Linked DNA regions of Caenorhabditis elegans. The protein of the gene in region 1 interacts with the protein of each later gene in a pairwise test. Each region holds a gene or a part of one and is shown on either strand. Other genes may lie near its edges.

The links.
Region 2: the proteins of eps-8 (region 1) and ztf-17 interact in a two-hybrid assay, tested with the Caenorhabditis elegans proteins (2 studies listed by BioGRID).

What each region holds. Positions count from the first base shown.
Region 1 is NC_003282.8:14,877,653-14,882,600, forward strand, and holds the start of eps-8 (SH3 domain-containing protein), read left to right. Parts: upstream 1-1,910; coding exon 1,911-1,963; intron 1,964-2,017; exon of another isoform or gene 2,018-2,038; intron 2,039-2,176; exon of another isoform or gene 2,177-2,197; intron 2,198-2,389; exon of another isoform or gene 2,390-2,411; intron 2,412-2,609; exon of another isoform or gene 2,610-2,630; intron 2,631-2,714; exon of another isoform or gene 2,715-2,735; intron 2,736-2,954; exon of another isoform or gene 2,955-2,975; intron 2,976-3,104; exon of another isoform or gene 3,105-3,125; intron 3,126-3,199; exon of another isoform or gene 3,200-3,223; intron 3,224-3,276; exon of another isoform or gene 3,277-3,297; intron 3,298-3,429; exon of another isoform or gene 3,430-3,452; intron 3,453-3,684; exon of another isoform or gene 3,685-3,705; intron 3,706-3,907; exon of another isoform or gene 3,908-3,931; intron 3,932-3,997; exon of another isoform or gene 3,998-4,018; intron 4,019-4,141; exon of another isoform or gene 4,142-4,162; intron 4,163-4,948.
Region 2 is NC_003280.10:7,865,756-7,872,290, forward strand, and holds ztf-17 (Zinc finger transcription factor family protein 17), read right to left. Parts: upstream 4,408-6,535; 5' UTR 4,399-4,407; coding exon 4,333-4,398; intron 4,229-4,332; coding exon 4,148-4,228; intron 4,101-4,147; coding exon 3,948-4,100; intron 3,898-3,947; coding exon 3,809-3,897; intron 3,756-3,808; coding exon 3,645-3,755; intron 3,597-3,644; coding exon 3,291-3,596; intron 3,247-3,290; coding exon 3,099-3,246; intron 2,858-3,098; coding exon 2,429-2,857; intron 2,382-2,428; coding exon 2,306-2,381; intron 2,261-2,305; coding exon 2,102-2,260; intron 2,057-2,101; coding exon 1,989-2,056; intron 1,935-1,988; coding exon 1,827-1,934; intron 1,439-1,826; coding exon 1,115-1,438; 3' UTR 501-1,114; downstream 1-500. Other genes in the region: ostb-1 (Dolichyl-diphosphooligosaccharide--protein glycosyltransferase 48 kDa subunit), read left to right, coding at 1-20, 70-252; T01H3.3 (MFS domain-containing protein), read right to left, coding at 5,430-5,566, 5,614-5,699, 5,768-5,950, 6,001-6,149, 6,197-6,400, 6,447-6,534.

The DNA.
Region 1 (4,948 bases):
AATTTGTAAAACGAATTAGTGTTTCTTTATACAGCAACTAATCCCACATATTTCAAAATAAGTAATGCAAGTGAAACAGTAAATTTAACAAAATTAACCTAATTTTCAAATGATTCTCAACCGAGCTTAAGTTCAATACCTATCCAAATCCCAACCAGTTTTTCATTCCAATTCCAATCCATCTACTTTCTCTCTCCACCTGTGTCTCTCACCTCTACCATACTATTTCTCCCACCTTTTCAATCGACAGTTTTTTTGCTGTTTCGGTTTCTACTGGATACACGCCTTTGGGGCGTGGAAATAGAAGAAGATGGATGGATTTTGGAGGAAAAGTTGAAGGAAAACTAGAGAATGCTGGGGCCCGGATACTTATTATTTCTTTGATTCGATTTTCTTTACTTTTTCCCCAGTTACAACAGATTTTGGAAAATTTCACGAAATTCAATTTTCTTTTGTTTCTTTGGATGTTTTTAAAAAGGGATTTTGTAGTTTGAAAACTTGAAAGCTTACAGAAAATTTTATGAAAATTTGCATTAAATTTTCTGCAGTTTCACACTCTTTATTTCAGCGTTATAGGGGTTTTTGCAACATTGCTTCAATTTCAATTTTTCCTATTGCTAAATATAGAAAAAAAAGCGGTGGCGAATTCTTTATGAAATTGTCTAAAATCCATCTTGTATACGTTTCAAAAAAAATTATGCTGTTTCAAAAATGTAACTTGTTAGCACAGAATATACGGTTTTCGTTCAGATTCGTTTTCAATCTCAATTTTCAAAATCTTCAGTTGAAGAAGTTATCTTTTTCTGTTTTTTCTTCGTAAATCTGAAAAATAATCACTGCTTCAAGTTATTTACGATTTTTAATTGATTTTGAAATCTAACTCAATTACTTTAATTAATTCTGTCATGTTAATACATCTACAAAAATAAATCTTACTCCTATATTTTTCATTCAATTTCAGATCTGATTGACTTGATTTTCAAGAGTATAGCTATTGCTAGAATTTTTAGTTGTTTTTAAATTTATCATTGATTTTCCGAGTATTGTTTTATTCACTAAAATTTCCAGATTCACAAAAGTTTTTAGTGAAAAATAAATCAGTGAATTGAAAATGTTTTAATTTAAAATTCAGATTTTTCTCTCAATTTCTCACTCTAGCCGCTTTAATGTTCTCTTCTCTCAATCTTTTTGTTAATTTTTTGAAACAAATTATCACTGTTTCAAGTTTTTTTAAAAATAATTAATCAATTTTCAATTTTAATTTTCACATAAATTGCTTTCGCTTTCATGATGTTATTTTCAAAACAATATTTTTCACTATTTTCATTTGTTATATAAAACATGGTAAAACTTCCCATTATACTCTCTTTTTGCTTTCTTAACTCTAGTTTCCAAATTAAAATTAAAAAATTGTTTCTAAACTTCAATTATATTTTCCTAAAACTTTCCACGAAAATTAAAATTCATTAGAATTTCTTACAGTTACGAAAAAGGAGCCAAACTTTGAGATTTGAATTCAAGTTTTCCACTTTATAATTAAAAATGAAAATTTCTTCCTTATTGTAACATATCATTTCGTTAATTTTTTAAACCAAAACTTTAAAATTTTCCTGTTTCACGTTGTTTATAAGAAACATTGATTTTTTAAAAACATTGCTCGGTGGATTTTCTGAGTCTTTTTCAAAAAATAAAACAAAACTTTTCTCATGTTTTTATTGGTTTTCAAAATGTCATATATTTTTTACTTTTCCAATTCCAACTACAATTTTTCGAAAACCCAATGCTTCAATTTTTCTTCCATAACTTTAAAGTTAAATTAAATTTGATTTTATTTCAGCCAGTCAAATGCCATTTGCTTAAAAAGCGAGGAAATTTATCATCAGTGAAGAAGTGTAAAACATCTATTAAAAATGATGCGTCGAGGTGGATCGATGGGTCCACCGAGCGGGGATCCATATCAGAGGTTAGTATATTGTTTTATGAAAATAATTTAAACACAAATACAAGGCAAATTTGATTACATATTGAGATAGTCAAATTTTACAATTGAAATAAAGTTTTTAAAGCTTTAAACTTGTTTTGTATTGAAAATCCAAGTATTTGATAATTACTCCCAAAATTGTGTCAATTTTCTAAAAATTGCTGACAATCTAAAAGGTGTGAGACGAATTAACTCAACAAACTAAGGAAAGCAGAACTAGAAAATATTTGAACTTTTTTTTGAAATAGAAGTTATGAAACGGTAATTTTTGCGAAATTTTTTAACCTAAAATTTAACTTCAACGTATTTGAAAATCCATTACTGCAAATAAATTTTGAGACTGAAATATTTCTCAAAAATTGACTATTTCGCAATAGATGTTAAATGAAATTTAATAAGTCACCAGAATTTCAAACAGGATGAAAATGAAAAAAAAACAGCTTCAAACATTTTTGTTGAAGTAATTTTTTTAAATCTAAATTGCTTCCAGCGACTTTTTAGAGCTGTTTTCTGTATGTTGATGGCTCGTAATACCCTAAAATTCATTTTTTTTCAAATAGAAAAAAAAATCGAAAATATCGCTGTTTCAAAGAAATGTTATATTTTCAAAGTTTTATCAATGAATTGTTCTGCTGACCTTTTTATTATGAGAAGATCAAATTAAATCATTTATCAAATTGAAGTCGATCCCCTATGAAAGTTCGACTAAACTGACTTCAAACCGCTTTTTAAACCGAAAATTGCAACATTCTTACTGAGTCAATAAAAATTAGAAAAATTAAATGAAGATGCTGAAACTGTAGAGTGTTTCAATTTTCGGTTTAAAAAGTGGGTTGAAGTCAGTTTAGTCGAACTTTCATAGGGGGTGGAATCCTTTAATCAGAAAATTTTAAACTGGATGAAAGAAGAAGTAAAAACAAACAAATAACTGCTTCAGATTCATGTTATTTAATTTCTGAATTTACTTTTCCGTTAAAGAATTTACTTTAAACTTTTTTTTTAGCAAATTAAAAATAATCTTTAAAAATCTAAATCTTGAAAAAGGAAAAAAAAAATGTGAATATCAAAATTTTGACCGTTTCACATTGTTTTTTTTTAATATTGACATTTTCTGGTAGCATAATATCAACAGAAGAATATTACTTGTTAATAAAAAAATATTAAGAAAATTAACTATTTCGCTTTCCTTATAAATATTCGTTATCAGATTTTATAAATTAGTAAGCTCTCGGAATTTTCTTAAATTTTCAGTTTTAAAGTCAAAACGACTTCCTTAATGTTCTAGAATAACTCAATCAATTAATTAACCAATTAATCCGTTGAAATGTCCCAGTTCGACAGGATTTATTGAATTTTCGAAATGAAGTTGATTAATTAGTTTTCAAGATGAATATCTTATTTCTCTGTTTCACCACCACACCTCTTTGGGTGTGGTTTTGGAAACTTATTTGGAATGTGAACGATTTTCCTAATGCCAATGAACTTTTTGCATTTTTTAAATTAGTTTTTTGAAACAGTGATTTTTTGTGAAGTCGTTTAATTGTAAGTTTTCAATATTAAACACCTTAAAAGTTAATTTATTGCGAAACCCCCTATAATAATGATTAGAATATTTCAAAAGTTGATTTTGAATTACTCTGATAATGCGTTTGAAATAATTTTTTCTGTTGAAACTAATTTGTTTTTTATGGTTTCCCTGTCTTCTGCATTTTTTTGAAAGCACATCATTGATAAAATGTTTCTAAAGTTTTATATTAAACATTTGGAACCGTGAAAAATTTTAAAACAACTCCAATATAGCTAACTTTTTTACATGTGCTTGTTTTTTGGAACAGTTTATTTTTTGTGCAAATTTTTAAGTATAATATTTTCAACATTTTACCATGTTTCAATGTAGTATTAAATTTTACCTCCACCATAAAAAATTATTGATTTCAATCTTATTGGTACATAACTCAAATGTTGAAAAAAAAATTTGTTGCACAATTGGAACTGTTTCAGAATTTCCCTACTTTCAAGAACAATTTTTTTTGGATATCGCAGTGTCCAAGTTTTCGAAAATTTTAGTCAGAAACCTGAAACTGTATCAATTTAAGCAATTAAAGTAAATTTAAAAACAATTATTGTATTCTTAAAAACCTGAAAATTGAATTGTTTAAAAGTGTAATTCACTGGAATTCATCAATATTCAAACTTTTCACATATTATGTAGCAAAGTGAAAACAGTAGAATTTTTAAAAAATTTAGAAAAGTCCTATACATTTTCAAGTTGCGATCAAAAATGGAACAAAAAGAAGCTGTTAAGTTTTGCTTATTCAGTCAAACTGTTACTATAAAATATAAAATTCAAAAGTTCAAGAAAATCATTTAGATATGTAACCAAATAATATTCGACTAATTTCTAATGAAAATACCTACCTAAAATCTAAAATCGTAATCACGGTTTCACAGAATATTATTTGGTTACATATCTAAATGATTTTCTTGAACTTTTGAATTTTATGTTTTATAGTAACAGTTTGACTGAATAAGCAAAACTTAACAGCTTCTTTTTGTTCCATTTTTGATCGCAACTTGAAAATGTATAGGACTTTTCTAAATTTTTTAAAAATCTTTGTGAAAAATGCGACTCTCTCTTAAAAAATTCTCTGTTTTTGTATCAGGGGTGTGCGGCAAATTTGCCGATTTGCCGAAAATTGCCGACTTGCCGAGCTCGGCAAATTTGCCGATTTGCCAAATTCGGCAAATTTAAAAAAACCAGCAATTGCCGATTTGTCGAGCACGGCAAATTTCAAAAAAGTAGATTTGCCGAATTTGCCGAGCTCGGCAAATTTCGAAATTTGCCGCACACGTCAAAAATTTTACAGTACAATTTTGACTAAAATTATTGATTTTTTCGCCAAAAATTTAGTAAAATGACACAAAATTGAGTTAGTTTTATGCTTAAGCAGACATACTACACGGAAC
Region 2 (6,535 bases), on another chromosome or scaffold:
ATCTCTATGATGTGCAACAGGTTAGTAGAACGATGTACAATCTTTATTTGCATTACACATATTATTCAGGTGTCGGTTCGTCCATTGTGGCACACCCAGTATGAACGTTTCATTCGCTCCGCATATCCATACTACGCCTCTTCGTTCTCAATGATGGCGGGACTCGTGTTGTTCTCCATCGTCTATCTTTATCATAAAGATACGCCAGTCAAAGGAGCCAAGGTTCTGGATTCCGAAAAGAAGAAAAACTAAATGCTCTTTTTTCGCAAAGTTTGCCTCTTCGCCTACTGGTTTTTTCTCCCTCTCTCCTCAATTCGTTTTCATCGCCCGATTCCAATGATTTCTAACTTATTTATTTTTCTGCTTTTAGGTGATTTATATTCGTTCCCCTTTCTCCTACCAAAGTTTTTTTGTTTTAATGTATTCAAGTTTTATGTCCCAACTGGTTGTATTTCTTTAAAAGTATGTACTTTTGTGATAATAATAATATTTTTCATGTTAGAAGGATTTCATGTTTTATTCATAGGCGTAAACACAAAGAACAGAAGCTAGGGAATACGTTTGATATATTATTTCTTTAAATTTGGGTCTACACTTTAATCAGAAGAGAGGGTGAATGGATGACTCTGGTAATCTTTTGATAACCGAGTATATTTACATTGAAATGAGCATTAAGAAGATGAATATAAAGAAACAATGTAAAGGTAAAAAGAAACGTAGAATACAACCAACTTCCTAGCTTATATGACAAAGTGCAGAGAGGTGGGTACGGTATTTCTCAAAAAAGAAGATAACCAAAATGTATTGATCTACTGAAAATTGAAGATTATTATAAAAGATTGAAAATTGAAGATTACAATAAAAGATTTAATTCATAGTCAAAGCTTTCTTAAAATTAAAAGGGTAACACAACCTAAAAGAGTAAAATAGAAAGAAAAAACACACTACAACTAGAAATAACACACTGAACTAAAATCTAAAACTACACAACAGAAGAAAAACATGAACAAAAGATAAAATGACCAAAAAGGTTTAAATCTCTTTTAAAACAAAAAAAAGGAATCTAGCTAGACTGAAAGAGGAAGAAATCTAGCTATGTATATTCTATTTTACTCTAAGAAATATTGAGATTATTGTGACGATCGTTGAAATTAGTGAGTCCAAGTAGCTCATCGAATACGTCATCATCAAATGGTCCACTGAAATCAGTGGCCAAGTCCATACCGCACAGCGGATCATTAAAGTTATCTGGAAGATTTGCAGCGAGAATCCCATCAATATTAGAAGTAACTCCTGAAGCTTCTTCTCCGCCACACAAAATTTCATCGTCTCCTCCACCGAGTCCAAATAAATCTTCGGTTTTGAATTCTTCAAAGTCATCTTTCAAAATACTTTGAGTCGCGAGAGCATCTTCATCGTCCATTTCAATTTTGACTTTCTAAAAGCAGATTCGATTGAAAAAAGTCAAATAAATACATTTTCTATTAATCAGTTGCAAAAAATGCGAATTTTGACGAAAAACTACAGGACCCTGTCAAGAAAATTTTCGAAGCAAAATTTTAGAGAGTACTGTAGCTGAGATTTCCGGTTTTTCATGCAATTTTTTGAATTTCAGGGTTTAGGAGCAAAGTCGATGGAAATTCTTTAAAAAAAATTACGAAAGAACCAAAGATTGGGCTACTGTACATCTTAAAGGCGCACACCTTTTTGCGCAGCTTTCATTTAAAAAAATCAAGGGGATACTGTATTTTCTGGTAAAAATTGCAATAATTTGCAACGGGATTTTCCGATCACGGTTTATAATGTTTTTTTTTTCAAAAACTAACACTTTCGTCATACTCCTCAATACTCGAATTCATTTCGAGATTTTGAAGTTGTCCTCCATTGAAACGAATCGGCACAGCCTTCTTCATCGTAATTGATTCTAGCTCCTTCTGGAAAAACGTGAAATATTAAAAATTAAGAATATATTACAATAAAAGAAATACCTTTATAGTCATACCGGAATATGGAAGTCTGCGGTTTCCATTTATAGAAGGTTTCATTGTCATTGACACTAAACTTATTTTGAAATTAACAAGAGAAAACTAATTGTACTTACAATATGGGTTAGTGATTGGAATTGGTCCTGAATTGTTACGATAGCCAGTTCCATTAAAAGCAGCCATATCTCGATGATATTGTTCGAACCAAATTGGCATTTGTTCAATTAGTCCGTTTTCAGTGACGAGACGGAATCGTCCAGAAGATCCAAGATAGCCTATAAACTCAAAGATAACGGGAAAATTAACTGAACAGTACTTACTGCGAATAGTTTCAACATTTCCTAAAACATCGACACCTTCATTAACTGCGTCGACGATGGCTCCAATTGAAGCCAGCTAAAATTTCAACTTTACAATGAGATGAATTTCTGAAAAAATGAAACCTCATTCGATTCTAGAACCATTCTTGTGTGATCAATTTCATGTCCACTGTGATGAAGGCATCCTTCAATTTGTAGTTCGGAGACCGTCGGATTCTGCTTGATTTTCAAATAAGCCATACAATTTCTACCACACTTTATTGACGGTCTGGGTGGTCTCACGTATTTCTTGTTAGGTCTCTCCTTCTGATCACCACTTCTAGAACATGTCAGATAGTGAACTTGAAGTCCTCGTCCCCACTTTTTGGATCCTGATGAGACGACAAACTCGACTGCATGAGTCTCACGAAGAGAATCGAGCCACGATTGGAGCATTTCACGATTGGCAAATGTTCGTTTAACAAGAGGAGCTTCAATTCCGTGCGAGTCATACATATGACGAAGTAGGAGAGGGCGGGAATATGCGAATGTGTCACATTCACTACATTTCACCTGAAAAATTTATTTAAAGAGTGAGTAGCTAGAATGATGATTTTGATTCAAAACTTCCTAAATGGTCTGAAATTCAGAAATATTGAAAAAATGTACAGAGAAAGAATAAAAATGAATTTTCTTAAAAACGTGGAATTTGAATATCCTCCAAAACTTTCATTCAAATTCAGACTTTCTTAATTTTTCTCTGAATTTCAGAAGTACTTTTTGGTATTTTAGAAATAAAAAAAACCGAACTCACTCCTTTGGGTTTTGGCTGAACCAGCTGAACTTTCATTGCCTCACCAGTTTTGTCGTATATAACTGGCTGCTTTGGACCATGAACTAACATGTGTTTTTTCATTGACATTTCATTAGTACCACGCCAGAAGCAGTCTTGTTGGGGACACCTGAAAATTCACTTTATAATTTATATCAGATAACCTTAACTTACGCAAATCTTGACGTTTGCAACCGATTTCTCTGAAGCAAGTTATAGCTGGGCGATTTTGATGTCATGCATGGTTGAACCAACGGTCCGGACGATTTTAAATAAGGATCAGGTGACTCTGATTTTGGTGATTTATCAGCGTTGAAACCATCTCCAGTCAATTCGTCAGCTCCTAGATCGGCAATTTCATCGTCTAATTCTTCTTCAAAAACTACTTCTCCACCCATTGACATACATGCCGGAACAGTTGTAAAATGTTGTTTCGGTGGCTCTTGTGCTGGGACATACATGTTCGATGCGGGACGATTTCTATAAAATTTTGGAGTTTTAAAAAAATGTTAATTGCAATAAACTAACTCATCGAACTTATTGCCGTATTCTGCTTTTGGCAGACGATACACATATTTTGGAGCGCTGCCACTTGTATCAAGAGTCACACTTCCTGCTGACATTGAAGTTGCATGGTATCTGAAAATTGAATTGTGATGTTCAAATTTATATCGTCGCCGTTTTCTACTTACGATGGGGCTCGTATAGAAGAATTTATTGTAGTCAGTCTTCCAGTCATTTGATTACCTTTCATTCCAGGATTGTTACGACGAATGTAAATCTGTAAAGTTTTTAAACAGAATATCAGACACGTGTGCCGATTCTGCTCACTATTTTTCCACTCTCGTAATTCTCTTTCATCTTTTTCATATAATCTGGTGGTGGAAACGTCACTCCTGAACTACTTGTCATCGATTTCTGAACGCCATTGCCATCGGCAACGAACAGACGACGACGGGGTGCCAACCGACATGCTGGTATACTCTGGAAGACAATGTTTTACTAATATCCAGATTTTTGTTAATATTCACTTTGTAATTTGTCGGCGGTCGTTTGATTATTTTGCTTTGCTGCGACCGGAGTCCGTTGGACGAAGCGATTGTTGATGGTCCCTGAAAAATTTAATAAACTCATTTATTAAAATCATTTTTTTAAGACATAGAACATCTAATTTTCTAATGACTGTAAATTTGTATGTCAAACATATTTGAAATACCTGTACTGGTAAATGATAGTCATTTCCGTACGAATCGCCGTACACGGACGCCTGGTAGCGCAGCATGTGAATTACCTGAAATATGTAAATGTTTGAATCTACGATTGAACAATCAAAATGTTTCAACATTCGAATATAATGCAATGAAATTGTAGAAAATAGTGATCAGAGAACGAAAAATGTGTCAGAAACATTGGAAATAACGAAAGAAATGAAACATTTTGATAAGAGCTTATTGAAAAAAGAAGAGAAAACAGTCAATAGGGAACAGGAGGAATTTTTTGAGATTTTTTTCTGAATGATTATGTTTGCGTCGAATAGAAAAATGCTGAAAACTCAAATAAGATTAATTAAAGCTTGAACCATTTTCCGCGAATTTTTGATAATAATTGAAAACAACAAACGTTTAATGATCTTCGGTTTCTCACAGAAACATTTGTTTTTGAACAAAAAATGTGTTATTTCTATGAAGTGTTGCTGAATAATTCAAAGTTCGAACAAAACATGTTCTTTGAACTTTCTCGCTGCAGTATATTTTTTTTGGCCTAGATAAATATATTCTTTAGGAATAAAATTGTATTTATGCGATTGTTTTATAAAACTTAAAAACAGCATGAAAGTAATCAGTTGGCTCGAATGGCACACCACGAGTCGATGCCCGGCGAGCTCTGCAACAGTTGCCGAGTCCGCCGAAGAAAAAAAACGAATTGTCGTGAAGTGTGGCGCGGCGTGTACGTGATGCACACTTTAAATTCCACCGTAGTACTCCGCAAAGCCAGGCGCTCACGCTCCTGTTAACAAACATGTTTATTCAGTGAAAATCAGAGGACTTTTGTTCGAGAAAATTTATGTGAAAAAGCACAACAAAACAGCAGGAAAATATGGTACAGAAAGTGATACTACACGGGAAGGAACAAAAAATAAATTTGATAAAAATGGGAGAGCGATATGAATATTAAATTAAGATTTTATTATTGAAATAATGCAGTTTCGTTGACCTGAAAAACAATTTTGGTCAAATTTGGCAAACTATTGAGCAAATAATTAACAAGCTTTAAAAGCATGACCAATTATGAGTGTTTAAAGAAACAATTGTTTTATTTTTTTGATTCAACTCTTCGAATTTCGTAAAGTCCACACTCGTCTTGATTAAAATCGATCAGAGCTAGAGATTGCATTTTTGTAGAAGCTGCAAGCGGATCCCAAGACGAAGCAGCCCACGACGCTGATTTACCTGGAATATAGGAAATCGTGAAAATCATTAAAAAAAGTTCAAATTACCTCTTCCAAAAACTGCAAACTCGATGGCGACAGCAGAAAGAACGAAAAATAAGAACATTGTGACTTTCATCCATTCTGCCAGTTTGCTAAAAAATAAAAATGTAAAAGTGAATACTGAGCAACTTTTCGTCTCTTTACAAACTGAAATACTTACTTTTCAGTCACAGAATATGTAACAACCATTGGAAGAATCGAGAACGCCAGTCCAAATGGAACAGCACACATTGCCACAATTTGCTCGGCAAAAACTCTTCCAACGACGGTTAAACTTCTTACAAATCCAGCGACAATGGCCAAGCCAAATGGTAGCATTGAAATAAGAAGAAGCGAAAAAAGTCTGGAATTATTTTAAAGTATAAATAGAAATGAAAAATAGACGGAATTTACCCGGCTTTGGTTTGTAGTGAAGCGACGAGAACTATAGCGATCATCAAAATTGCGCCAATGGCAAATGCCGTGAAATTTAAAATTCTGACGATCTTTGTTGAAGGTTTGAAGAGGACGTTGAGAGAAGAAAAGATGATACATGATAACGGCTGTAAAATTATGAATGTTGAAGAAACATAAAAATTGTAAACCGTACCAAAAGCTGAAAAGGGAAACTACTGTGAATCCCAAGTCCTTCAACAACAAAAACATCGGGTGACGCCAGAAGAGATGGAAGATAAATTGAAAAGAAAGCAGTAACTGAGAAGAGACCAAATGCAGAAGTCCAGATGCTCCAAGCAGACAATGATCGGAAAAGTGAAGTATACGCATCTGCAAGTGCACGATTTGATCGTAATTCCTGAAATTAAAAATTATTTTCGGACATTTTAGAGCACAGAACTTACATTCACTTTTCCTGCAACAATTTTATTCAATTCAACTCCGCTGACCCATGGGTGGTCTTGTGGACGATCACGATAAAATATTGACCATC